4 linked regions of the Rhinolophus ferrumequinum genome follow. The main gene of each other region encodes a partner of the protein of the gene in region 3 in a complex. Links are inferred from orthologs where the notes say so. Each region holds a gene or a part of one and is shown on either strand. Other genes may lie near its edges. The genes, in order: TAF5, TAF10, TAF7 and TAF3.

Region 1 (7,994 bases), on a different chromosome or scaffold from region 3:
ATGGCAGTCCAAGGAACATTCAATGAAGTGTTTCAGTCCACTATAGTATTCTTCATACATTGTGGGGTCTCCTTGTTGGTTGTAAGCTGACAGCACAGCACTGACATCTGGCTGGTCTTCCACAGCTACACTCCCAACTGTTTAAAAAATGAAAAACAACTTTCAAGAAAATGACCTGAGATGCACCAAGTGACTACGGCTGTTTTGCTAAGGTCCACAGGTGAATTGTTTCTCAAATGTTTGTCCCTCTCCTCTCAAACTTTCTTCCCCAACACAATCACATAATCTTTTAATAGCATTTTCACTTTGTTTCAGTGACCCATCCAAAACTCCTTCATCTTGTCCATATCTTAAAATAAAATTTTCAAATCAATAACAAGAGATTCATTTATTTTTTTCTGGAGCTACCTTATTTTAAAGACAAATTGTACAAAACATGGATGAGCAAATCAAACAACTATGTCCATCTCCTCTCAAGGGTCAATGCAAACGGCACCCACCACCACCATCAAGCCATGCCCTGAAACAACATTTCCAGTTCTCTGAGCTACCTAAGTACTTTGTAACTTTACTGTAACCTCCTATCCTATATCACCTTCATTTATGTACATCTCTCATTCCTTATAAAATGTAAGCATTTTAAGGGTGGGAAGTTTGTGCCTTATTTATATTTCCAAAAGATATGCTTAAAACAATTTCCAGAACCACCATTTCAAGTCAGAAAATACGAGTATTTATTTGTAATATAGCAATATTACAATGCTATATGTATCAATCGAATCAGGGTTTTATTGTTGGAATTTTTAAGTTGCAATTAAAGTACTGTTATGTTCCTTACTGCACAAATGATATAAATTCTTTCGATTACTCTGATGGCATTTTCTTTCCATCCTTACTGGTTTCTCAGATATGATCTAAAATATAGGTCAGGTTTCTGAACAGATTATAACAAAATGACTAACATATATACTTCACCCATGTTTTAGTTCATTCACAAAATTCAGCATTCAGGGAAAGATTCCTCTCAATCATTTTTACACACTTCTATGTATGGGTTACAACGCTATGTATTTATTCTTCACTTCTGGCAATGCTGCAAAGATTAGGTCTCATAAATACAGATTAGCTAGAGGCTCTGTACTGGATAATTTAATTCAACAAACATTCATTATTGGCTCAGGATCACCTTTGAGACCTTATATTGTGTATAAATTTTAATGCACAGACTTTGTGACAACAGTTGCTAGGAAAAGGGGATCAGGGGGTGCTCAGGTGTCAGGAATGGACACCTAGGCATAAACTTTTCAATACCAGTCATTTTACATATATTATATCTAAGTCTCACAATAACCCATTTAATCGAGGAAAAAAACTCAATTTTGGAAGAATAACTTAATCAGCATCAACCACGTAAAAGCAACAGAGACACAATCTGAACCCAGGTCTGTCCAATGCTTATTCCTAAACAAATGGTTCTCAAACTTGGGCATACATCAATACCCCTCGGAAGCATTTACTCAAAAATGCAGATCCCCAGGCTCAGCTTCTAAAAGCTCTGATTCACTAAGTCTGAAATGATGCCCAGGAATCTGCATTCCCCCCAAAGCGTCAACACTCGTGGTAGTTAGCCCACATTCTGAGACATACTGGCTACACTACGTTCCATCACTCCGTGGCTGTGTGGTCCAAAGCAAGTCCTTTGGCCTTTCTCAGTCTGTTTTCTCATCTCTAAAATAGTGGAATTGTGAGAATTAAGATATAGAACCTAAAATATTTGTACAGAACTGTACAAATATTGTTAGTGCTAATGTAGACCTGTCCAAAGCTCAAGAACCCAAATAAGCGAAAAGGGACCGAAACACTAAGGGTCCGCGCCTCTCCGCGCCCACCTTCCGCATACATCCTTCTGCTCAACAGCTCTCAGCCTCTCGCTGGAACTGACAGCTCTAGGAATAGGGTTTGACTGCGCAGCCGGCGCACTAGAGAAAGGGGCGGGCATGTGGTCCTAGAGGCGGGCCCAGGAAATTCAAAACAAGCCCGCAGAGGTGCAGGCCTGCCAGCCTCGGCATTCCCGGCTTGCTCCCCTTCGTCCCGGCCCTGTCTTCCCGGGACCTCGCGGCTCACCTTTCCCCGGAGCCACAGGACCTGTTGCTGAGCCCGAGACGGCGGCAGCTCCCGAAGCGCCGGTTCCCGGAGGGTCTGGGGCGGCAGGACCGGGAGCCGAGGCTGTGACCCGGCTAAGAAGCGCGCTAGCCGCCTCTGTGCCGGCGCCGTCCCCATCTCCCGGGGCTCCGGTGCCCGCCACTGCCTCCTCCAGCAGCCGGGCCTCCCGGCGCAGAGCTTCTTCGGCCTCGCGGAGGTTGCTCTGCCGTAGGAACTGCAGCACGGCCAGCAGAGTCTGTCGGTCGTGGGAAGCGCCCGCCTCCGGAGCAGTGGCGGGCACCGGGGCCGCCCCCGCCGGGGCAACGGCGGAGACAGCCACCGAGGGTTTGGGGGTCCCACCATCCCGGCCGGCCGACGACGACGCCGCAACGTTCCCACCGCCGCTGTTGGGGCCGTTGTTGGTCGTGCTGCCGCCACCCTCGCCAGCGCCGTCCCCAGCCTGCGGAGGTAGCAGCGTCGGCGGTCCCTCGGGCTCTAACTTGACCGCCACCTCCGTCTGCTCCTCCGCCAGCGCCGCCATCTTGCGGCTGAGCCACCTCGCGCCGTCAAGTGCGATTGCGTTTTCGCCACATGGAGGGCGGGGATGAGCATTTCACGACAGCTCCGGAAGGCGATTTACGGCAGTGGGAGGGGCGAGAAGAAGGAGAAAAAGAACACGAGCGAGAGCAACTTTCAAAAGTGAGTGACAGAAAGCAGGAAATTGGAGATGGCGACCGCCTATTGCATTTGCCTGAAAATAATTACCACTTATTGCAAACCAACTGCTATATTCAGGCACTGTGATAGACGTTTTACATTATATGACTTTTAATTCAACAATTTTATAAGGTACTGTTGTCCTCACTTTACAGGTGGCTCAACGGAGACCCAAAGAGGTTAAATAACTTGCCAAGTCACTCAACAAGAAAGTGAACGTTTCAAGATTTGAATCCAGGTCTTTAACTCAAAAGCATATACCATTTGCCAAAGGGAGGCTTCTGAGATACTGGTAATGTTTTGTATTTTGATCTAAATGGTGGTAACTTTCTTTGTTGTTCCAATTTTTACTTTTGTAAAAATTAATCGAGCTGCGTGCTTAAGCTTTGTGAACTTAACAGCATATATGCTATATTTCAATAAAAAGTTTCTAAATATCTGAATTTTGTGATTGTGAAATGTGTACATTCTGTATTCATACTGTGTTATCCATTATTACAAATTGTAAAATTTCTGCATTTTAATTGTGTATTTTAAAATAGTATATGCCATTTTGCAGTATGCTTCATAGATTATAAAAACCCTGCTGCATATTTTATCTCACTTGAATCTCACAACTCTGTGGGATAGGTGAAGACAAGAAAAGTGAGCCTGGGACATGGGGAAGATCTAGCACTTATTCAGGTTATTAGTTTTGAGGTCTTACTAGCTTTCTTTGATCCTGATTACTAGCTGAATGACCTGAAGCAAGTTACTTAACTCACTCTATCCCAGTTGCCCAATTTCTAAAATAGGGATAATAATAGTACTTAACCTCAAAAAGTTGTATGCGGATTAAATGATATAATGTACATACGATACCTAATACGTAATAAATAGCTACTGGTTGTTCTTACTTAACCTTAAAAGGTGTTCTGTAAATGTTTGTTATGAAAGTCCAATCATGATATCCAAGGTAATCTCATGACTAAAATATAAAACTAATCTAATTGGATAGCTAAAGTAAGATGAAATATGGGTGAGAGTTGGGGAAAGATGAGCAAGAACTGATTAGCATTTACTTAGCACTGACAGAACCTGAATCTGATGGTACATGCTTATGACCTGGGAAGAATTCATCCTTTTCCTCAGGATCATTCAATTATTTTTTTCTGATTCAGTATTCAGTAGTTGATAATTGGTAATTAACTGAGCACTTAGTAGATAGATAAGAGATACCATGAATAACAAGCCCAGGTTTGTTTACTATTCCCTGGAAAGATGTTTTACCCCATTATGAATAGTATATTAATATTCTGATGCATACATTAGTCTCTCAAATCAGGTCCTGGGAACTGGATCCACCTGTACAACTGAAGCCCTGATACTGGACTCACAAAAGTACAGCCACTCGCTTTCCCTCTGTGGGAGCCACCTATTACTGGCTTTTTCTCTTTCCAAAAAATCTGGGTTGGGACTTCAGCAGAGGTAATTTACTCTAAGTACAGTGGTTTTTCCTGTTACACCTCAATAGAGGTAAATTTATTGAATGCCTATAAGGTCCACTATTAATTTTTGATTCTCTCTTCCCCTTCTTTTATGATCTTTCCCATTCTCCTCCTACTTTCTTTTTGGGATGCTTTAAGAGGTCCAGTGTCGATCTGTATCTCGTTACTTCATAGGAGAGCTGCTTTTTCTGGGTGTTTCTCTTTGATGTTCTTTCATTTCACACTAATGGATCCAAGATTAGACTTTTTTTCTGTCTATCCTGATTTGCCTCTTATGTACCCCTTCAATCTGAGATTTTTTTTTTCAGTGCTAGGCATTTAGTAAGCATTATATCTACAAATATTTCCTCCCTCCATTTTCCCCTTCTTCTTGGATTCTTAGGATGTAGATACTATAGTTATATACTCTAGGTCTGTTAACTTCAGTATTTTCATGTTTACCTTTCCCAGATCCCTCCTAGAAGAGTTCCTCAACCTGATTTTTCAGCGCAGTAATTGATTCTTGGCCTACATCCATACTACTACTCAACCCATTTATTGAGTTATTTACTTCAAACATTATATTTTTCATAGTATGTTAAACTAGTTCATGATTTATTGCTTCAAGTAACCCAGTTGGGTGATTTTGTCCCCCCACATATCCTGGGGGGACATTTGGCAATGTCTGGATACACTTTTGGTTGTCACAACTCAGGGTTGTGCTACTGGCATCTAGAGGGTAGAAGCTAGGGGTGCTGCTAAACTTCCCACAATGCACAAGACAGCCCCAGCCCCACCACAACAAAGAATTTTCTGTCTCAAAATGTCAATAATGCTAAGGGTGAAAAACCCTGATGTATACAATATGAACTCATTTTTTTTCCTTTGAGGATATGTATTGTTTAAATTAACTTTCCATCTGATGCATTTAACCTGTTACATTTACTTTAGGTTGTTCAGTTTTTCTTACTTTAATGGGAGTTGCACTTTTTTCTATATCTCATTACTTTTCTTCATTAATTTGTATTTCCCTGGAGGTATCATGTACCTTGGCTGATACATTTACCCAGAGGGAGAAGGTGAGGGATGCCCCAAAAGGGGGAAAGCCTGTGGTATCACTATCTGGGCTTCATCATTACCTGTTTGCCAGCGCGCACACGCACGCACACACACACACACACACACACACACACACCACCCCTCTCCCCGCCCTCAGGGTTTTCAAAGTTTTTACCAATCTATTAATTTCTGTGTCATCTCTCGGGTTGGGTGTGATGGAGGAACCAGCCACCAGTGAGAGTTTACCATGTTGTTTAGTTTCTGAATTTAAACTCACACTGGTAGCTTGATTTTAGTTTAATTAATTTTAAATTGACCTGCAGTTGGAAATCCCGAGACTAGAGTAATTATTATTAACGAAGTATAGTTGGAGGAGGACATGTGAATAAATGCATAAAATATATAGGTTTTGGAGACACAGGACTTCATATTTAAATTTGGGAGACAAGGGCAGAGTTTATTGTGAGAATAATTTCTCGGTATTTGGCGACGGTGACTGAAAGGATGACTGAGAATAACCTGGTTAGGGAAGAAAACTATGAATTTGGTTTTTGACATGTTGAATTTGAGGTCCCTAGAGGTCATGCAAGTTTTGCTGGCCATAGGCAGAAGCATTTTATGGGTTAAAATGCTTCTAAGCATTTTAAGGAGAAAAATCGGGGCCAGAGACATTGATTTGGAAATCAGCATATAGATGGTAATTGAAGTCATGTGAGTGAATAAGATTACCCAAGATATTGCATAGAGCAAGAAATGAAGAAGTTCTAGAATAGAATTCTGAGGAACATCCATATTTAAAGGCTAATCCAGGGACCACTTTGCTCACATGTTCTTGAAATTACCTTTTCTCCTGAATCTTGGGACCCAAACTTTTCCTTGTTTTCCTTCTACCTCTGGCCACTCCTCGACTCTTCTATTGCCACTACTTCCTCCTCTACTTCATTTTTATTATTCTTTCCAGGTTTAATTTATTTAAAAAAAATTTTTAATCGACAATTTCAGATTTACAAGAAAGTTGCAAGAAAGTACAAAGAATTCCCAGATACCCATCATCCACATTCCCCAAACGATACATTTACTACATATGCTTTATCCTTCTCTGGCTCTCCGTCTCTGCCTCTCTGTAGATAGATAGATAGATAAATAGATAGATACACTGATATAGAGATCTCTATGTAGATACAGATATAGAGTTCAGACTTAGTTCAACTCAACTTACTCTTAGTAGTTCAGAAAAAAATGTATATGCACGTGTTTTTTCTGCATTACTAAGAGTAGTTATTTACAGGCATGATGTCCCTTTACCACTAAATACTTCAGTATGCATTTTCTCAAAATGACATTTTCTTACATAACCAAAGGACAATTACCTAAATCAATAAATAAACATTGATACAATACTCTTGTCTCAATAATTGTCTACAGACCTTACTCAGATTTTTCTGTCTCAACAATATCCTTTATAGCAAAGAAAAATCCAAGATTATTCATTGCATGCAGTTGTCGTATCTCAATAGTCTAATTTGAATCCTCCCTTTTTTGTATTTTTTTAATGTTTCCCCACCCCTCTTTTTTTTGTATTTTATAACATATATTTTTGAAGAGTACAGGCCAGTTAATTTATAGAGAATGTTCTTCAATTTGAATTTGTCTCATGTTTCCTCATGGATTGATTCAGGTTCAATCTGTCTCATCTTTGGCAGGAATAGTACAGAAGTGATGCTGAGTTCTCAGTGCGTCGTATCAGGAAGCATGTGGCTGTGGATTACTCCCATTGCTATCAATGTAAACTTTGATAATTTGCTTAAAGTGGTGAATGCCAGATAGTTTGAAACTATGTAAATATCCTATTACCTCTCAAACTTTAGCTCACCAGTTTTAACATCCATTGATGATTCTTGGCCTGTATCAATTATTCATATGATGGTTAACAAATAGTGATTTTCTAATTCCATTATTCCTTCTACATTTATGAGTTGGCTTTCTAATTTAAGGAGGAGCTTTCCCTTCTCTCCATTTATTTAGTTATATCAGCATGGACTGAATATATTCAATAAATTACCATCTGTTACTGTCCTAATTTTTATTTTGATGTACAATTTGTCCCAGATTTAACTAGTAGGAGCTCCTTCAAACTGGCTGCTGTGTTCTTTTGACATGACACTTTATTCTCTGAGTACTTCCTTACTTTCTAGCACAATAAGAGGTTATAGTCCCTCTTATTTTTTTCCTGCTGCAAACCTGGAATCAGCCATTCCTCCATGGAAACTGGGTTTCTTTTAGTGCATTAGAAGCCAAGGACAGGGTGCTAGGTGTGTCATTTCTTCTAGGCCCTCTCAGTGGACAAAGCTGAGAAATACACGTATTTATGTATGTTTACTTACACACATGTATATACATTTACCTATATACATTTACCTGAGGTCACCTTGGATATCTCCAATTCCAATCCAACAAAGCAGAGTTTATCCTTTCCTGTCTCTTTTCCATAGTTCTAACACTCTTTTCCAATAGTGATAAATCTGGCTTTTATAATGTATTTACTTATTTGCTCAATCTTAGAATGTACAGAAAGTAGCTTCAGAATTGCTAACCCATGTCTCTGAGAAA
Region 2 (6,182 bases), on a different chromosome or scaffold from region 3:
ACAATAACTGTAGTGGGGCTGGAATTTTCCCACATTTGTTCAAATATATAGTAATCCTGTCCTGAGAGCTAGAGATCTCTCTACATGAGATTGGAGTGCTGAGACCCACCTTGTTTTTCCCTACATTTACAGGTGGCACTGGAAGGCCTTCGGCCAACCATCCCACCAGGCATTTCCCCCCATGTGTGTAAGCTCATGAAGATCTGCATGAATGAAGACCCTGCTAAGCGGCCCAAGTTTGACATGATTGTGCCCATCCTGGAGAAGATGCAGGACAAGTAGGACTGGAAAGTCCTTGCCTAAACTCCAGAGGTGTGGGGACACTGTTAGGGGACTATGTTTCCCCAAAGCTGTGGGCCTCTGGTTGCCTCCCCTGCCTCCAGTCATGGTACTACCCCAGCCATGGGGCCCGTCCCCTGTGCCCATCCCTACCGCTGTGGCCCCAAAAGGGGCTGGGCTCAGCTTTGTCACTTGCCACATGGTGTCTCCCAGCATGGGAGGGATCAGCCCTGCCTGTCACAATAAAGTTTATTATGAAAACAGGCTGGTGTGGGGACAAGAGGACAGACAAGTACATTTAGATTGGATGGCTCAGGTGAAGTAGTGTGGTTTCTTCACATTGATGCCATACTCGCTGAGGGCAGGGGTCAAGTCCTCCATGGTTAGAGTGTACTTGCGGTCCTGAGGGAAGAGGGAAGAGCACCAGCTAAACACAGGAATCCCAGATTTCAATCCCAGGTGGGTGACCCTGAATAGGTCTTTCACCTCCCCTAGGGCTGTTTCCCGAAAGGGGTTTCAGGATAAATTAAGCCTCCGCTGCTGGGAGGTAATTACTGATTCAATGAGCCTCCCCTCACACCTTGCTCTTGCTTCGGGAGCTGCCCGAGGCTGTGCCCTTCATTTTGCAGTGCTGTAGTGCATCATTGGCAATATCTGAGATGAATTTTTGGGCAGCTAGGGAGATGAGCCGAATTCTAGAGAGAGAGAAAAAAAAAACCTAAGGAAATGGACAGCAAATCCACACAAGCACCCAACTCTCGAACTTGCCCAGAATTTACTCACATGCGAGGGTCCGAGGCCTCAAAGCCAGCGCGGTTCAGGTAGTAACCAGTCACTGCATCTGGAATCTGAGAGATCAATTAGACAGCTATTAGTGTAAGCCCTATGCACTGCCAGGCTGAGAGTGAAAAGGTGAGGGAAATGGAGGACAGGCCTGACACTCGCAGGAAGCTTACAGTTTGGGTGGGCAGAGGGGATAAGTCACAAGAGCAAGTATGGGAGGGAAACACAAGAAGACGACACTGGAAATCCAGGTGGTGTGGAGGAAAATTGGCGTGACAGCGGGCCAATAGCCTTGTTCTGGCAGGAAGCCCACCGTAGGCGTGTAATCCTCCAGCTGCATCAGGAAGTCCACCAGAGGCGTGCTGGACACCACCGGCTTCACGTCTCCGTTGGCCGCACTCGGCAACACATAAACCCCGTTAGACATGGCCCCCTCCGGGGGCGCCGCGCCGCCTGCCGACACCGCAGCTGGAGGAGAACCAGCAAACTGAGACACGGAGGTGGAAGGCGCAGGGCCTCAGCTAGGTCTGCCTTATACCCTCTGCCCTCCCCCGCCGAGGAGCCCCGAGAAACACGTTGCCCTCACCCTCACCCGTCCCGGCCCTCACCCGCCCCGCGCCGGTCGGCCGGCTCCCCGGCCCGCGCTGCCACGGGTCCCGTGCCCCCTGCCGCGGCTCCAGCCCCAGGCCCTCCTGCTGTCCCCGCGGGGCTGGCCTTATTCTCCGCAGCGGTGCCGGCGGGCAGCACGGCGGGGGCCGAGACCGCGGGTGCAGGGCCCGGGGCCGAGGCGGCGGAGGCTGGCGCCGCCTCGGGGTCCGCGCCGGAGCCGCTGCAGCTCATCTAGCCGGTGGGAGAGGCGGCGAACAGAACCGCTTCCGCTTCCGCTCACGTTACGCACACACCCGAGTGACGTCACTCCTCGCGCTTGCCCCTCCCACGCCATGACCGCTCTCTCCCCTAGGCTTCTCTCCTCCTGGTTGCCTGTATGCCCGCTAGATGACACAGACCGAGGGGCGGAGACCAAACCTTGGAGAACCGCGCTGGCCGCGGACGTTCCACCTCCCACCGCTCCGTACTCGTCGGTGGTTCTGCAGGGCTGGGAATCCTGGAATGTCGAGGACTCTTCTGCGGATCAGGGACCCTCTTTCAGCCTGCCACCTAAAGACCTCTCTTTTGGCTCATTGGTCCGACAGGGTTGGACCATCTGCCAGCCTGCATGCTTTCCAGTTCCCTTATTCAGCCTTTTAAAGGTTCGTAGTGGAGGTGGAAAGCGCCCCGCTCCCCGCCAGCTGCCCGGAGAAGTGCAGTCTGCAGGAGCGCGCCCAGTGCTGCTGTAGATGCGGAGGGAGGTGTTTCAGCCTGAGTAAAAACACATATGCAAAAATCACAGCGAGGGAAAGAGTGAGGTTTTCAATGTAGCAAACATTTATTTAATTCCTATTTGCCAAACCTGAGCTAGGGCCTGCGAATGCAAAGTTTAAGTAAAACAAGACTCTAGTCCTCTAGGCACCAACTGTCTTGGAAAGGGAGGCAAACAGGTCAACTGGCAATTTCAATACTATGTAGGAGTTACAATACTAGAGGTAGACAAAGTGTGCAGTGCAAGGGACAAAGGGAACTAACACCTGCTGCCTACTTCTGTGTGTCAGGCACTCTTATCACCATTATTCCATTTAATTATTCACTGATAATTATGAGAGGCAGGTATCGATATCCCCACTTAACAAGTGAGGAAAAGGCTCAGGGAGATCAACTTACTGGCCCCTAAGGCTCTCCCCTAGTCTGTATCAGAAACAAGAATCAAACGTTTGGTTTCAAAAATCTAGGATTTTTGTGCTATACCAAAAGCAACCAGTAGGGAGCCAAAAGGTTCACAAGGGAATATAATGGATTCTGAGCTGAGTCTGGAAAGAATCCTGGAAATCAACCAAGCAAAGAGGAGTTAGGGGTAGTGTTAAGGGCACAGAATATCTTGAGCACAAGTGAAAGAATGTATATGGGAGGAAAGCAGGGGAGGATAAACAATTTGTTACTCAGGAACAAATAGCAAGGAAGAAATAAGGTTTGTGAGTCATGACAAAAAGCCTGAACTTTACCGGGTAATCTTTGAAGGATCTTAAATAAATGACCTGATGAGATTTTCATTTTATTCTGGAAGATGGTTTAGGGAAGGGCAGGAAATAAGGTAATTTTTTTGCAAGGGCCTTAAAATTCAGAGGAGAAAGAATACGGCTCTAAGCTAATGTAGTAGTGGAGATAAAGATAAGTAAATGAGTTCTACATGTACATAAGAAATATAACCGGCAGACCTGTGCATAAAGATGTGTTTAAGAGGCAAGTCAGTAGGACTTGTTAATTGAAGGTGGTGGTGGTGGTGGGCGATGAAGGAAATAGGAGTCTAGAATGACACCCAGGTCTCTGGTTTGGTTGGAAGAAGCATAGTATCATTTACCAAAAAGAAGAGAACAGATTGAGATTGGGAGAGAGATAAGTGTCAAGTATCACATATCTTCCTTTTGAAGTATCAATCACTGTTGGACAGAAAGTCTGACGTAGTGAGATGATGATGGCTGTGGATGCCAATCATGACGGATTTGTTCCAGGGGCAATAGGTAGAGTGAGAAGAGCAAAAGACTGAGGATGGAGAAATGAAGTACACCAATATTCAATGAGGAAGCAGAAAAAGAGGACGAAGGGGGTGGTCAGAAAAGAAGTTAAACCCTGGAAGCTACGGAAGGAGAGGGAGTGGGCAACTATGAAAGAAGGCCATAAAGCAAAGATTGGGAAGTGTGCACTGGAGGAAGCAGCAGGGAGGCCATTGTTTTTCAATGTCAGGGGAGGAAAGTACAAAAGTGAGAGCAGAAGTCTCAGTGCAATGAATTGAGGAGTGAACATGAAGTAAAATTCATGAGTGCACAGACAGTGTAGACAACACTTTGGAAAAGCCTGGTTGCAGAGAAAGAAGACATGGTGCGGGGGTGGGCAGTGTTGAGGGATGCATTCAAACAGCACTGGTGATAGCATCTATTGAGAAACCTGAGGCGGGAGTAGGGAGACCTGAGTATGATGGAACAGGGTTAGGGTTGGGAGTCAAGTCATGCTCATAGCACTTCAAGGTTAGGGGGATAAGCTCTCAGCAGTCAACAGGTGAGGGTTCAGCAGGATTTCCAATAGTGCAGAATAAGGAAACAAGCCACAAGCTGTGGGGCAGGAGACAGGCCCACTCTCCCGACAGGAAAGGGTCAGGGGTTGATTAATGTCTTCAGCAGAGCTGGGAAGTTGGGTGTTCCCCAGCCTGTCACAGGATCCCAGCCAGGGCCAGAACAGAAACCCTGACCCTGCACCTCTTCATTCAGACAGGACTCATGGCAGCCACGGATGACCTAGGGAGAGGGTGAGCATCAGATCTGGGCCTGCTGGTACCAGTACTAACAGACTACACCCCCGCACCCAATAGTCCCATCCTATGCTCTTATGAAAATGTCCACACCCATCCCTTCCACACTCACATCAAAAAGTCCTGCCCCATGCTGCTGGTAGAGCCTTGGGTTGAGAAAGCCAAGAGGGGGGCGGCCACTGAGGATTCTGTGTTCATTTATCAGGGACAGAAGCCCTCCAAACACTGGAGTAGAGGCCTGCAAGGTGCAAGTAGAAGTTAGGGGTTCAGAATGACTGCACTTTTGGGGAAGGATATTTGAAAGGATCAGAGGTCCCTGAGGAGTTAGGGCTTCTGGGTGCAAGGACTTAGGGGTAGAGGCTGAAGGTAGTTCCTAAAGGTTGGGAGCCAGGCTGATTCTCACCGAGGTGCCAGACACCCATGGAATGGGCACACGGTTGCTGACCACCCAGTAGCCATCAGAGAGTGCAGCTACATCTGGGTAGGCACGGCCACTGGCATTGAAGTAACTGGATGGTGGCATGTGGGGGCTGGATCTCAGGAACTGGGTTACAGCTTCCTCCTGAAAGGCATTGTTGAGTGAGTACTGTCTCCTGAACTGAGGATTCCCACCCTTCCTCACCTCCATCTATCCACACAAACCTACACTACACGTACCTGGTATGAAGGGCGTGGGAACACATTGCTGAAGCCACCACCACTGATATAGTCAACAATCTCACTTGTGACTCGAAAAGGATTCTGGAAGGATGTGCCTCCCACTGTGGTGACATAGGGGCTGAGGGCAGAAAACAGCACTCAGATTATAGGGGCCCCAAGGGGACTTCCAAAATGTGTAGATGTTGTCACACAGCAGCCTAGCAGACTGTCCCCCCATGTCTTTCCTTATGGAAAGAAAAGTCTGTGAGACTGTGCCTTTTTGGGACGTTATTTATCTCAATGTTTTATAGCTCATGTCTCTCTATCTAGTCTCCAAAAGAGGGTTTGCAGCCAATGACGAGTAAGATTCCCCACGGGGCGGGGGGGACAACTCAAGCTAGGCGGAACCCCATGGAGACCCCAATGAGCTGCTTTAGAAAGATCTGGGAAGGGGACTTGCCCCACTCCCCCCTGCCTGGGAAAAGCCGCTGCTGACTCTGACTTTTCCCTCTCACCTAATTGGGAGAAAAGTCTTGAGAGTGATAAGATTAAGCTCTCTCTGCTCAGCTCTGTGAAACAATTTCACCATGTGATATATGTCCCTTAAAGGAGTTGCATACCTCACCTCAAGGACTTTCTGCTTCGGCTGTTTGAAGATCAACATAATTGGTTTGGGTTGTTTCTATAACGTGATAAGTGAGTCTCACAGACTGTGCCAAAAACACTGCTACTCCCTTGTATACTTATCAATAAAAACCTCCAGTCGGCTCATATCTGGGCTCCAGTCTTTCAGAACTGTGAGACCCCTGGCCTTCTGAGATTTAAACTGCATTAAGTCTCTGTTTGTTTCTTTCTTAAAAACTTAACCCAAAGCCGCCCCTTCTCACACCCTCACTGCCCGTGTTGTGCTGGATGCGACATGTAGAGATGGGTGAGTCTGGCTTGGGTCTTGCGGGAGGGTCTGGAATCTGTGGGGAAGCATGCACATGGGGATGAGTAAAAGGTTTTGAGCCCTCAAGGGTGGCCTGAGGTGACTGCACATTTTCCCTACAGAACACCCACCAAATCTTCCACCAGAATGCCT
Region 3 (7,097 bases):
TATTCCCCCAAATAATTAGTTCTTTCATGGATACTATTGGTTGCCTTTATAGACTGAATATTTATTTGTGTCTCCCCAGAATTCATATGTTGAAACCTAATTCCCAAAGTGCTGGTATTTGGAAGTAAAGTTTTTGGGGAGTTGATTAGGTCATGAGGGTTGAGTCCTCATGAATAGCATTAATGCCCTTGTAAAAGAGGCTGCTGGGAGCTCCCTCACCCCTTCCACTATGTAAGGTTACAGTGAAAAGACTGTTGTCTATGAACATGGAAGCCTGCCCTTACCAGACAACAAATCTGCTAGTGCCTTTATCTTGGACATCTCAGACTACAGAATTGAGAAATAAATTCTGTTGTTTACAAGCCACCCAGTTTATGGTATTCTGTAACAGCAGCCCAAATGGACTATGACAGTTACCCATGCCCTTTCCTTTCTTCTAACACTTCCTTTTTAGTTTAGGGGCCCACCCTCTGGGTACCTAAGGCAGAGCTGAATCTATTCATAGCTGTAACATGTTCTCAGAGATCTAAACCAATAATGGTAATCTCCTTCCACTTGTCAATGTTTAGTTGGGAATATAGGCTTAAAATAATAAGCTTAAGGCAGGGTTTCTCAACCTTGATACTACTTTGAGCAGATAACTCTTTGTGTGGGTGGGGAGAATAGGTGTTCTGTGTAATTGTAGGATATTTAGCAACATCCCTTGCCTCCATCCACTACATGCCAGAAGACCCCACCCCCACAGTTCTAACAATAAAAAATGTCACCAGACATTACCAATATCACCCCTTTGCCACAATTTTGAAAATAAAAATGGTAACTATTATGGATCCAGGGATAGGTATGTGACCTAAGTTAGTCCAATCAGATCAAAAGACAGATTTTGGTTTGGGGGAACCACTCTCTGAACTTACCATGGACAAGGATGGAAGTTCCCCAGCTATGCTGGCAGGTTTCTTGTCACCACAGATTTTGGAAGTTTACAAGGAGATGAGGACAAAACTGAAAAATAATAGAAAAAGTATAAATAAATGCTCATTCTCTAAAATTAGGAAGAAAAAAACAATTTGTGCCAGGCCATGATTCTATCATACCTAGAAGCAGCCATACTTCTAGAACTGCACTGTCCAATACAGTAACCACCAGCCACATGCAGCCACTGAGCACTTGAAATGTGGCTAGTCCAAACTGAGATGTGCTGTGTGTGCAAAATACACACCAGATTTGAAGATTAGTACAAAATAAGAATGTAAAATATATCATTAATAATTTCTACCTTGATATGTTGAAATGTTATTTTTGATGATTAAGTTAAATAAAATGGTATTGAAATTAATTTCACTTGCATCTTTTTGCCATTTTAATGTGGCTACTAATATACCATATATGGCTTTCATCTGAGGTTCATATTATATTTCTATTGGACAGAGCTACACTAGACTACCTGGTTTTTGAGATACTAGATTTTTCTTCTTATTTAAACCAATGTAAATTATGATGGTGTCTTTTCTATGGAAAGTATCATACTTGATGCTATATTTTAACTATATTAACTAGATTTTAGTTAACCTGCTTTTAACTGTTTATACACCAATATAGCAGTATGTAAGAGTACTTTTGGGGGGCATATGCTATTTCTTCTCCCTTATAATTTTCTATCTCCAAAATATAAGCAGGGCTTTTCCCACCACCAATAATTTTACAGCATTATCCTGGTTTTGATACTCCTTTATCATAGGCAGGAAGCGTTTGGAGGTCATTACCATGTGGGGAATTTATTGCTCTCCCCAAATCTTTAGTTCACTAGTATCACAGATATTCCAAGGAACAACCACAGAAGTGTAATTCTGTCATCAATTCAGAGTGTTTATGTATGTCTATTGATTTTAAAAAGAGAACAACTGGATTATCAACAGACATTAAGGTAATTGTAATGTGACAGAGACCTTAGCTTTAGGATCACTGTAATTTTCCCTCATACAAATCCCGCATTTAGAAAATGTGTTAAACTCCAAAGCAGAAAATATATTTCAGGATAAGGAGGTACATACTTTAGGGGAAACTTTAATCCTTTTAATTATCTCTGACCATCTTCCATTTAAAGGTTTACTAAATAAAATACATCATATTTTGGCAAATCAGAATTGCATCTGTTATCTCAGGTTACTTTCTGTGACAGGATATTTGAGCATCATAAAACTATAGGCAATTAAAGTGCAAAGCAACATTTGGATTATTTTCATGTATAAGCATAGAATCACATTTTATATAGTCAAATAAAGCACTATGCAGAAGCTAGCATGTTAAACTCTTCTATCTATAAAATAAGTAAAATCAGGTATAATTAAGGGACCATCAGTATAATTAAGCACAATAAAGAATTTCACCTTTGAAAAGGGGGAAATAGATCATCCTGGAAATTATAGATGATATATCAGCCAACTTTCTTCAACACATTTTGGAACAAAGAGAACTAATGTAGTTATCTGAAAAAGCATAATTTCAACTTCAAACTTAACATTAAAAAAACTGGTGCCAGGCCATTTTAATTTTAATTTCCTCCCAAGATACACAGTCTAATTAAACCAAAGAGGACACACTATTAGCAAAGCTCTCTGCTCATAACAATTGGCACCGTCCTTGACGAGAGGAAATGTATATGAAGTGGCTTTATCTCATTTTAAGGTGACATAGAATGTATTTTATCTCACAGATTATTATAGACTATATTTATGCTCCTTTTAGATGGATCAATTGGTTCATTCAATTAGCAAATATTTTTTTGTATATCCCCCATGTTTTGATACTAGGCACCGGGACATGATGAACAAGATAGAAGACTCCTGATGATCAGAGAGCTTCCAGTCTGAGGGAGTGAGGGAGACAATACATAAAGAAATGAAGTGAACTTTTAGAAATGTTAATCACATTTTAATAAGAGTTCTCTTAAATTTAGATGCAGTTGGTAATAGAGGATAGAAATTAAAATTTTAATGACCTTGATGCTCTACCAGGACGATTCCATTAAAAAATAAATGGAAATGAGCAGGAATCAGTGGAAGCTGTTATATATATTAACACCGGTAGTTAGGCTTAAATACTATAGATACGTGCTGATAAATATCTGCCTACATAAATAGAGGAGACAAGCACAAAACAGTTATCAAAATAGCAGAGTGGAATGAAAACAATTCCTAACTAATTTAAAATTTACAAGCGAGTGGCAGGGAGTAATACTTCAATTATATTCTACCGCAATCAGACCATTTGTCTATTAGACGACTCTGTCCTAAATGAACATATGCCTCTTGAAGAACACTTACTTCTCTGTTTACATTTATATCTACGTCAAACATACTATTAAAACGAGGAATCACCCTTATTCCCTTGGGGTCCTTCACAACAGAAACTGACCCTGAGGCATGAGTCCACTCCAAGCATTTTCATAACCAACAAAATATAGACTTAGAATTATATAGTGGGCAGCATGTCCTCCTCACTCCACTGATTTGGATACTTTCAAATCCACTGCATGGTTAGTTATAAATTCTTGTATTCACTCGAAATTGGATATACCCTGGGGAGCATCGGAGGTGTTTCCTGAAGCAAAGACTCTTTCCGCACAGACGCCCTATACCCGACGATCACCGGGAAGCCTAGGAGCTATCCGGCCCCAGGGCGATCCGGTAAAAGTTCTGGCTTAGCGGCGGGGCGGGGAGGTGGGTGCGGGAAAATCTAGGTCTTTCTTGGAACCGGTGTCTCTAAATATTTTCAAAGCAATAGCTCTTTAAGGAAAATTATTCCCATCGCCTAAAACCAAGTTCTCGCGAGCAGACGGACACCTGATATCGCAATTGCGCGTTGCGCCTGCGCGTGCTGGGGCAGACCGCATTTCCGCTCGAGTCGTGCTGTCACTCACAGCCGTCTCCCGCCCCGCGCCGTGACGTACTACTTCCTTCTCCGCTAGGTCTGCTTCCCCTGACGGTCCCGGGAGCTGAGGAGCTGTAGGCGGAGCTGCCGAGTTGCGGAGCTGCCGAGTTGCTGAGTTGCGGAGTCTGGCGCTCAGAGCTACGGATCTCGGTGAGATTTCGCGCTGCCCGTTCTGGGTCATTTCATTGATAATCAGCAGCGGATCGCTTGCCAAGAGCCGGGAGAAACAAAGGAGTCAGGAAGGAGACTTTAGGCCCCCGGCCGCCATTCTCCCAGTGGCTTTCTCTTTCGCTCGCTCCTGTCCGGAGAACCTCGGTTTATAATTGTTACTGGACTGTAAGTATCCGAGGCGAAGAGAGCTCACTGCACCCCGCTTTTTGACTATCTTTGTTCGGGGAGAGTTTGTGAATTGGGAGTGTCTTCTGGGCCTTTACTTTCTGTGCCGAAAATCATTCCGCAGAAGCCGCCATTTGCTTTTCTGCTTGCTTGCTCTGTATTGTCCGGCAGCGCCATCTAGTGGTTGGAACTTGGCATTGCAGCTAATTTATTCAAAAGGACTTAACTGAATAATCCAGTGCCAGTAACAACTGGTATTCAGTCACAGCATATTTAAAAAGACTTGGTGCTTAATTAAAAAAAAACCAGTAGACTCTAAGCTGCTGTTCTTCTTAGAACTCTTTGTAATTGAATTTTTCAATTCATAACAAACTGGTCTTTCTAACTTGATATAGTTGGAACGTTTTAGTGCGACAAGTGTTCATTTGAGAAGTGAGTCACAAAGAAACATGAGTAAGAGCAAAGATGATGCTCCTCACGAATTAGAGAGCCAGTTTATCTTACGTCTGCCTCCGGAATATGCATCTACTGTGAGGCGGGCAGTACAGTCTGGCCATGTCAACCTGAAGGACAGACTGACAATTGAGTTACACCCTGATGGGCGTCATGGAATCGTCAGAGTGGACCGGGTCCCACTGGCCTCAAAATTGGTAGATCTGCCATGTGTTATGGAAAGTTTGAAAACCATTGATAAAAAAACCTTTTACAAGACAGCTGATATTTGTCAGATGCTTGTATCCACAGTTGATGGTGATCTCTATCCTCCAGTGGAGGAACCAGTTGCTGCTGCTGATCCCAAAGCAAGCAAAAAAAAAGATAAGGACAAAGAGAAAAAGTTTATATGGAACCATGGAATCACTCTACCTCTAAAAAATGTCAGGAAGAGAAGGTTCCGGAAGACAGCAAAGAAGAAGTATATTGAATCTCCAGATGTGGAAAAAGAAGTGAAGCGGTTGCTTAGTACAGATGCCGAAGCTGTCAGTACTCGTTGGGAAATAATTGCTGAGGATGAAACAAAAGAAACAGAAAATCAAGGCCTTGATATCTCTTCGCCAGGAATGTCAGGCCATAGGCAGGGCCATGACTCATTAGAACATGATGAGCTTCGGGAGATATTCAATGACCTCAGCAGCAGCAGTGAAGATGAAGATGAGACGCAGCATCAAGATGAAGAAGATATAAACATAATTGACACTGAGGAAGATCTGGAAAGACAGCTACGGGACAAGCTAAGTGCTTCAGATGAACAGCACCAAGAAAATGAGGGAACCAATCAGCTGGTTATGGGAATTCAGAAACAGATTGATAACATGAAAGGCAAGCTCCAAGAGACCCAGGACAGGGCAAAACGACAGGAAGATCTCATAATGAAAGTGGAAAACCTGGCTCTCAAGAACAGATTTCAGGCTGTGCTGGATGAACTCAAACAAAAGGAAGACCGAGAAAAGGAGCAGCTTAGCTCTCTGCAAGAAGAGCTAGAATCACTCCTAGAGAAGTGAAAAGAGCTTTGATACTTAAATTCATTCCTTAAAGTGGTCAGCATTAGAAGAAAAATTTTGGTTTCATTACTTGGACTAGATGATAGAACTATATGGTAATTTCTGTTTTTTTCTGCTGCCTTTTATTGAATTTGTCTTAAACGACTAGAAATGTGAATTTCTATCTCATTTGTCTCTCAGAACCACTTTGTTAGGTGTTTATCATGTAGGAAGTAGGAATGTATAGAAAGATACATAATTGTAGGAAAGTTGTAGGATTAGTGGAATGAACAGTTCAAACTTTGTAATCAAAACTTCACTGCAGGACTTTGCTGCTGTTTCTCCATTTGCCAGCAACTGGTTTTGCTAGTTTGTGATGCCATCTAAGATCACTAAGAAGAGTAGTCTAAAGGCAGTTAAGTTAGTTCGCATAATGTTTTCCCATGCAGTAGTTATTTTCCTAGTTATTCAATTTTATACATGTAGAGTTGTAAATCATTTCATAAAATTGTTTTAACACAATAAATAGAAACTAGTTTTCACCTCATAATGAGTCTTGCTGTTTTAGGGATTGTGGGCATCAGATCCTCTTGTGAGGTGGTTTCTTGGTACAGTTTAATTACTGAACAATTTGACCTGTTTGGTAGGGAAAAAAGCAGTTATGTTGGGTTTTAAGAAAAAGATGAATACAGCAAGAGCAAACAAATTGTGAAATAGCTGCATTATGTTAAGTTTCTAATCCACCTGCTGTGTTTGGAGGGTTAATAAACACTAGGTACAGAACCTTCCTAAACAACCCTAACTTTTGTACATGAAGGTCTTATTTAATGTTTTGTGTTTTTTTTTTAAAGCACTGTACTCACCTGCTTGAAATAACTAGAAACAAAACAGAGCAAAGCTTTCAGGTACTTTTCAAAGAATCATTCCATTGGTTTGGATTAAGATTATATTTTTAAATATTTTCAACTTAATTACTGTAATTATTTAGTACTCTGAGAACTGAGATGATTTGTCCGTGTCAGTTCATCAAAATTGTTTATAAAGGTCAGTATTATAATTTCTTATTTCAATATTTCTTAAACATAATTTTCATATTTACATACTCTAAAGATTCTAATATAATGCCTTACTTGAGCTATTTTGGAAGAATCAGTGATAAAATTTACAAAATGCAGAGTTTGGTGCAATTCATTTCTGAGATTGGTTTATAAAGAAAATCTTTGGTTTGAAAATTAACCTCATGGAGCAAACATTTAAAGCCCATTTTAATTAGGTATTTGACAAGAAACATGAGTGGTGAAATGTTAAATTTTCCAGACCTCTCAAGTGTAGTCATACAAGCTGATAAATCAA
Region 4 (7,750 bases), on a different chromosome or scaffold from region 3:
TTTGCATTTACTGCCTAGACCACGCAATAATTAAGTTATAGTACCAGTCTTGAGGTGTCATTCTGAAAGATTTACACCTGCTTCCAGCTCACGTACTCATATTTTATACATATTACAACATATACAGAAACATCTGCCCCCGAATGCTTTGACAAATTGTTACCTTAGGCAAATTTAAAATTGCATTATTTGTTGAATGAATAGTAACTTCTGATGCTTGCTTTAACTTGGGAGCTTTTGAAAAAGGGACAGATACCATCAGTTTGGTTTTGTTGACATTGTGACACCCATATACAAACCTTCTGGGCAGGGATTGTGCCTAAGTAATTTTATGTTTCCAACACCTAGCACAGTGTTTAGTTCCTAAGTGGTACCCAAAAAATATCTACTAAAAAGACAGAAACCAGTAAGCAAATATGTAACTCAGAATCAAATATATTATATATTCAAGACCTAGTTATCAGAAACAGGATTTAAAGGAATAGAATACAAGATTGCATAGTAGCAATTTGAAGTTATAGGATTCGAAGTTAAAACAAGGATAGTAAAGAAAAAAGAATCTAAAAAGTCTGTAACTAATAAGTATACCAGGAATTAGCATATTTTTAAAAAGTCACCAAATCACGATGGAGAATAATGGACCTGAGAATTACATTCTCACTAAGAGGAACAAAATCAACTACAGAAATTGGGTCATTAGGAAAGGGGTTCGCATTAACTCACAACAGTGACCACTTGATGACTTGGGCACACTTGGAGTGTACATCCTGGCTCTGCGTACAACGCAGGAAAGGTAACTATTTATTCAGGGCTATTCTGATCACCTAAACGTACAGAACATCCATCCTTAGGGAACTTGGTAGCAAAAATATAATCCGGATGATGCATAACCGTAACAGTAACCTCAAAAGATCATGAAGGAGGACAGTGGGGACAGCAGAGGGTGGGGGTAGAAGCAAAAGCCAAGCGAGTCCTATCGTGTGCTGTTGGTGTACTTTCAGGATAACCAAGAATGAGAGTTCCTGGGCAGTTCAAATTTAGCTTAGAAGTATCAGTGAAATCAAGCATTCAAAAAATACATACTTTTAAAACTCAAAAAGTGAAGTGAGTAAATAGTTATCATGGTAGTGGGTTATTAGTTCATTCATTTAGTCAACAAATATTTCCTGGGTGCCTAATATATTACGGCACCATACTAGCTTACAGAATATAAATATAATAAATTTGTCTCCTGGGGAAGAAATAGGAGAGCGTGACAGATATACACAGATGACTACAAACCAAGGTGTTAAATAACATACTATGCACAGACTTACAAGAGCAGATAACATGAGTTTCCTGAAACAAGTGATAAAGTGAATCTCAAAATATAAGAAGTACTATTGGTGGACCAGGGGGTGAAGGACAGTAAGAAACACCATGTACATAGGAATGGACAGCTTAAAATGCTTGGGAAAAGATAGGCAGCTCAGCATGGTTGCAGATTAGGATGGCAGGATGGTAGAAGATAAGAAAAATGCTAGCTCACAAAAGGAACTGTGCTGTTTCAGAGTTTAGATTTTCTGCCTGCATTCAACTAAAGTATTTTTAAGAACCACACGATCAGATTTGTGGTATGGACAGATTATTTCGGCAGCACTGTGGAAACTACAATGGAAATTGGGGCCTAAGAAGTAAAGTGTATCCATAGGTCTCAATTTTTAAGTTTAGGAATCACTTGAACAAAACAAAATATCCAATGAAACACTTCACCCATTTCTCCACTTTACCACCTTAAAAATAACGACCTGAAATTTAAATAAAGGGTAGTTTCCCTTCCACACATATGCATCACATCAATGACATGATGTGTGGCTTCTATTAAATATTCCAAATTATTAAATGCCATCACCTATAGACACTACCAGGTGTTCACTTAAAAACCGTAAGTACTATATCCCAGATTACCTGGGGAAACTTGTAAATTGCCTATAATCCCTCTACCACACTTTGATAATCACTGACATAAAAATATAAAGGAGGAAATCAATGGGTGGCTGAGATGTAAGTGAAAGTTAATCTAAGTGAAACTGACAAAGTTGGCCTTAGCAAAGAGTTAAGTAGAGAACTGTCTATGAAATGAACAGATGCAGAATGAAGAGGTAGTGTCCGTAACGGAGCAGAGCTGTCAACGAGTAAGTGTTGTTATGAGCTGAAGAATGGCCAGCTTTGTAAGAAACGGCCGGTAGACGGAGCGCCTGTGACAACTAGTTGTAGTAGTTTGCGGGAAAGGAAGGAAAAGGACCAAAGTAAAAGAGGCTGTAAGGCACTCTGGAGGTGGTTCACAAAATGAGACCATGAGAAAGACCGATGCACATTTCAGATCAGAGAAGGGTGAGAGGGTATGGAGCTGGGAGCGGAGACAGGGCTCCCGGCTGGAGGCGGGAAGTTAGCGGACAAGGAAGAGGCACCAAAGGGATGACTAGAGTTTCCAGGGGCAGTGGAAGCGGATGGGCATCAGGGGCCGAGAAGATACCCGATCTCGGGGTAGGGGTGGAAGACAAACACCTCGCAGACGCTGGGATAGCGAAGGGGAGACCGGAGGTGTCACTCGTGACTGTCCAGAGGCAGCCCTCCCGCACCCAGCCCGGTACTCACAGAGCTCAGAGTACCGATGGCAGCCCCGTCCCAGTTGCTGCAGATAGCGCTGCAGCACGTCCGTCAGGAGATGGCAGGCGCTGAGTTGCACCGAGTCCCAGCCCAGCGCCTGGCAGATCTGCGCCACCGAGACCCTCAACAACGACCTGGAGTAACTCTCGCACATCCCGCTCCGTGGACTCCACCGCAGCACTTGCTGCCACTTCTCTCCACCCCCACCGCCTAACCTTAGCAGAGCCCCCGATTCATCCTCTAGGGCCCCCGTGGCGGGGAAATCGTCTCCCCCCGACCCCTGGCGACCACCTCAAAGGCTCAGCAGCACGGAGCGCGCCAGCCTGAGAGCCGCCATTTTGGACTCGCTCCGCCTCCCGCTGGACGGTCGCCGGGGCGAGGCAGCAGTAGCCGAATACTGAGCGCGCCGATGAGGAAGCTCCGCCCCGTTGAGGCAGAGCGATGGTGTCGGTATCAACTCTCGCGCCTGGAAGGACGCAGGAAAAGGCTGCGCAGAGTGCAGGTGGAGGAGGCAGCCGAAGAGGCAGGTGCTTGGGACCTTCCGGGGTGGGGGTGGGGGTGCGGTTACTTGGAGAGGAAGGGAGAGAGGACCGTCAGTGATATAGGGGCAGAAGAGGGAACCGGGACATGAAATTAAAATGCAGGTGTTAGAAGTTGGGAACCCTAAAGACTGTGAGTGCGGGAGCGGGATTTGGGGCCTGGGAACCTAAGTGCTACCCCAAACGCGGATCTGATCCGGTCTTATCTCTACTCAAAAAAAAAAAAAAAGGAAAAGAAAATTGAGCTGCCTACCATTGTATAGATCAGATCAAGTTCAAGCTGTTCAGCGTGCTATTCAGAGCCCTTCAGACAGGACGGGGACTAGGGTGAGGCGAGTGAGGCCCTGGACTCGGTGCCGAATTTATGGGGCATCAGAAAACTTAATCAAGATCAACAATATTTTAATACACTATATATATTTGAAAAGTACGAACGGCTGCTAAAAAAAAAAAATTCCTGCCTCACTCACCTCATTATAATGCCCTGGTTACAGCAAACCTTTATTTACAAAAACAGGCTGCAGTTTGCCGATTTGGCCTCCGCCAGCCACTGTGTCAAAGGGAAAAAGGACTCAGTTGCTTACAGAGGCCAAACAAATACCTTAAATCAGCGAAGCTGGCTAAGGCTATAAGGGACACTTGCCTTCTCTAGAGCCTTTTTGCAGTTCCAGCCTAGTGTTGCCAGGTCTTTCCAATTTGCTAGAAATCGGGATTTTGTGATAAATACCTCGATTTTTAAATATTGGGAATACATTTTTAGTTTTAATTTGCAAACTAATCCCATGGGTAAGGCAGATTCAGCCAGGTTGCAATGGCTCATTTACTCTGTTTCTTAAATATGCCTCTGTGTGCGTGTGTCTTTCCTACAAGCTTCTGGAGTGTAGCTTTCTAACTTCATCACTCTCCTCTGTATCCGTCTGTCAGTTTCTCTAGTCTTATACTATCACAGTGCATTTAGTATTTGAGTTTCTGTGCCTCTCCAAATAAATTGTGAGCATTATAACCTCCCTATGACTACTCCAGAACCTTGAACATACATGATATTCAATTTTTTAAAAGTCTTAAAAACCCGAGGTGGCCGGTTAGCTCTGTTCGTTAGAGTATGGTGCTGGTTGCACCAAGGTTGCTGGTTCGATCCCTTTATGGGCCACTGTTAGCTATGCCCTTCTTAAAAAAAATAAAGTTTTAAAAACCCAGTAGAAAAATATGGTACTTCAGCTAAATGACCATCTGTAGAGAAAGGAGCAAGGTGCTAGGTGGCAGGGTACCTATAACATTTTCTTCACTAACCCTTCTGACCCTAAGATTATTAGGGACCTTTTGGATGCTAAATCTGTGGGCCACTTCCTTCCTAGCCTTACTTGACCATTTTGTAGCCATTTGATAATATTGAACACTACCTTAATTTTGAAACTCTTCTACCTTGGGTCTCATACACCCCCACTGTCTTGCTGTTTCTTCAGTACTTCTGGAAGTTTCTTTTACATCTCTATATCAGAGCGTCTTGATTTATGATGTGTGTGTTTTAACCCCTTAATATCATATTTTGGAAAATTTCAAACCCACAGAAAAGCTGAAACAGAAAAATATAAACAGGTATACACTTCACCTACATTCACCAATTATTAACATTTTGCCATATTTACTACACACACACACACACACACACACACACACACACACACACACACCCCTACCTTTTTTTTCCAGAATAGTTTGAAAATAATTGCAAACTTCATGACATGTAACCCAGAAATACTTCAGCATGTATCTCCCCCAAACAAGGACATTTCTCTACATAATTATATCTCACAGGTTCAGTTCCCCAGGAAGCCATTTCTGAGCTGGAGATCAACCCACAGGTGGTTTATTAAGGAGGGCTCCTGGGATCATCACCTGTGCAAAGGAAGGGGCTTGCAATGCGCTTTGAAGGAGGCGTCAGCCAATCCCATAGGGAGCTCTGAAGATGGGCTGACCCTTCAGATTTGTCCTGAGATGGCACAAGGGGGCTGGACCTTTATATTCCTGAGTTGGTTAGGTCCTTGTGTGAGGCCTTCCCTGAAAACGGTATGTGACCTTAGGCAAAAGTGCTCTCTGCAGCAGAGGCAACTCCAGGGGAGGCGGGAGTCCTTCAGTCCTGAGGGGATCTGAGCACTGCATTACAATGTTCAGTCCAGTCCTAGTCTGATCAGGCTGCCGGAACAAAAGACCACAGACTGGGTCACTCACCAACCAAACGTTTTTCTCCCAGTTCTGGAGACGCGAGCTCAGGGTGCCAGCATGGGCAGGTGAGGGCTCTCTGCTGCATCCTCCTTAGGGAGCTCTGTGGGATCTCTTTTATAAGAGCATTAGTGCCATTCAAGAGGGTTCCACCGTCATGACCTAATCATTACCCCCAAAGGCACCACCTTCTAACTCCATCACATTGCAGTAAGGGTTCCAACATGTGAATTTGGGGGGGGACAGGACACAGACATTTAAACCACTCAACTAGGGTCCACTCCTTGTACCCTCAGATCCACTTCTTGGTACGAGTTTGAGGAACAGCTCAAGGTCGAGGGACCACCGACATTAGGCGAGAGAGTACCACGAGGCGCCCAACTAGATCACTTGGGTACCAAACATTCCTCCTTGTCCCCATTGTGTGACAGCAGCCTGACTTCCCGAAGATCAGGGTCGATTACTCTGCATGCTAGCTCCTGGCCTAAGTGTTCAGGTGGCAACTGTAGCTGATATTTCAGTGGGACTCCTTGTGTCCCCTGGTGGAAAAATTCCTCCTTTGGGAAATAAAAACTATCAACCTGGGGAAGCCAGCGTTGCAGAGACAAGACGAAGTTTCCCAGGCGGGTCCCTGGGAGTGATGGTAAGTGATGGAACTCCAGCTTTCACCGTGTGTCATCTACCCAGCACCACAGACAGGTCATTGACTTAAAGTGTATGTGGCATCCTGGGGACCACACCCCATCCTCACTAGGCATTGTCCGTGAGCTAGTGCCATTCCATTGCTCAAAGGCCATTCCATTGCTCTGCCAGGCTGCCCGCTTGAGTGGTATGGTAGGTGACATGACCAGATTTCACAACCATGTGCCCACTCCCAACCTTTGTTGTCAAATGGTTCCCTAGGTCTGACACAGCTTGATGTGGAACACCCAGTACGTATACTGAGTAGAAAAGGCAAATCTGTACCTAGAATATGTGCCTATTCTTATCAAAACAAATGGATGCCGTTTCTAGGATGCCCAGGGCCACGGTGGTCAACGTGCCAAGTAGCTGGTCAGTTTTCTTGGAGTGTAGTTGGCTCAGGCTGCCATAGCAACATGACAGACTGGGGGGCTAAAACAACGGGTTTATATTTTCTCAGCTCTGGAGGCTGGAAGGTCGAGGTCAGGGTGTTGGCGGATCCATTTCCGGGGTCCTCTCTTTTTGGCTTGAAGCCATTTTGATTTCTGAACCTTGTGACGTTTTTCTCTGACAGCATTTAGGTCTTTACCTCCATTGCTCTGAAATGTCACGATGATCTTGAATGAGCATTCTTGGACAAGTCTTTGCACACTTGTATGAGTACTTCTTTAGACTATTAGAAGTGGAATTGATGATAAACTATGTACATTTTAAGTTTAATAGCACTGCCAAATCACTCTCGAGGATTGTAAACTTGTACTAACAGCATGAGATCAATTCCCCCTACTCTCTAAAACTGTCTTTAACAATCTGATGGGTGAAAAGACAAGTTGACCACTCATTTATTCCCCATTTTTAAAATTGACTTATTTTTCACTGAAATGAGTTCTGTGCAGTGTCATAAACCCTTTTGTCATGTTTTGCAATTTAAACTTAGGGAACTTTGTGCAACTGCTGTTGGATAAGATTGCGCTACCAATTTTCCTACTTTCTTCAATACCGTCTGATCATATGAAGGAAAGGAGTACTCAGCGTGGGGAAATGGTAGTATTAGAATTTTTGTACTTCTACTAGTTCCTTATAGACGCATCACCAAGTCAAGTCTCGAGACACAAATTGCTTCAACAACCACATATAGAGAAGGTAGTTTTATATGCAGAGACCAGGGGTTGAGTATAGACTGGAGAGAACTGGGTTAGAATCCCAGGTCAGTCTTATCAGCCGTGACCTCGGGCAAGTTCCATAATCTTTGTCTGGTCATCAGTGGAGATTAAAACAGTACTTAGGTTATAGGGTTGCGGTGAATATTGAGTCAGTATTTGCAAAGTATGTCTTATGTGACATGGGTGAATGCTCTGATTAAATGTTGCCTGACCTATGTAAAAGTGATCGTCAGTTCAATACAGAAACTATTTATGCTCTTTTAGGTGTTGGCACTCGTCAACTTGGAAGATACAATAATTAAAACATTTCTGCTAGGATCTTACAGTCTTGTGCAAAGACAAGCAAATAATGACAAAATGTGATAAGGGTTGTAATTGGTGAGCACTCAAGAGGGACACTCAGCCAGCCGTTTGGAAGGAGCTGAGGGGACTGAGAAGGCCGACCTGCCTGGAGAAGTGGTATCTAAACATGTCCTCAAGAACCAATGACCAACAGAA

The links.
Region 1: TAF7 (region 3) and TAF5 share a complex: the UniProt entries of both Homo sapiens proteins name them as parts of the TFIID basal transcription factor complex. The link is inferred for Rhinolophus ferrumequinum from reciprocal best matches to the Homo sapiens genes TAF7 and TAF5.
Region 2: TAF7 (region 3) and TAF10 share a complex: the UniProt entries of both Homo sapiens proteins name them as parts of the TFIID basal transcription factor complex. The link is inferred for Rhinolophus ferrumequinum from reciprocal best matches to the Homo sapiens genes TAF7 and TAF10.
Region 4: TAF7 (region 3) and TAF3 share a complex: the UniProt entries of both Homo sapiens proteins name them as parts of the TFIID basal transcription factor complex. The link is inferred for Rhinolophus ferrumequinum from reciprocal best matches to the Homo sapiens genes TAF7 and TAF3.

What each region holds. Positions count from the first base shown.
Region 1 is NC_046299.1:21,905,900-21,913,893, forward strand, and holds the start of TAF5 (transcription initiation factor TFIID subunit 5), read right to left. Parts: upstream 3,022-7,994; 5' UTR 2,684-3,021; coding exon 2,125-2,683; intron 138-2,124; coding exon 1-137. UniProt on the Homo sapiens protein: The TFIID basal transcription factor complex plays a major role in the initiation of RNA polymerase II (Pol II)-dependent transcription.
Region 2 is NC_046294.1:45,221,448-45,227,629, reverse strand, and holds TAF10 (transcription initiation factor TFIID subunit 10), read right to left. Parts: upstream 1,926-6,182; 5' UTR 1,903-1,925; coding exon 1,671-1,902; intron 1,531-1,670; coding exon 1,376-1,530; intron 1,128-1,375; coding exon 1,063-1,127; intron 975-1,062; coding exon 860-974; intron 682-859; coding exon 592-681; 3' UTR 515-591; downstream 1-514. Other genes in the region: ILK (integrin-linked protein kinase), read left to right, coding at 133-282; TPP1 (tripeptidyl-peptidase 1), read right to left, coding at 4,305-4,445, 4,572-4,697, 4,863-5,021, 5,117-5,237. UniProt on the Homo sapiens protein: The TFIID basal transcription factor complex plays a major role in the initiation of RNA polymerase II (Pol II)-dependent transcription.
Region 3 is NC_046307.1:15,636,499-15,643,595, reverse strand, and holds TAF7 (transcription initiation factor TFIID subunit 7), read left to right. Parts: upstream 1-4,073; 5' UTR 4,074-4,715; coding exon 4,716-5,765; 3' UTR 5,766-6,645; downstream 6,646-7,097. UniProt on the Homo sapiens protein: The TFIID basal transcription factor complex plays a major role in the initiation of RNA polymerase II (Pol II)-dependent transcription.
Region 4 is NW_022680355.1:13,386,722-13,394,471, reverse strand, and holds the start of TAF3 (transcription initiation factor TFIID subunit 3), read right to left. Parts: upstream 3,007-7,750; 5' UTR 2,804-3,006; coding exon 2,638-2,803; intron 1-2,637. UniProt on the Homo sapiens protein: The TFIID basal transcription factor complex plays a major role in the initiation of RNA polymerase II (Pol II)-dependent transcription.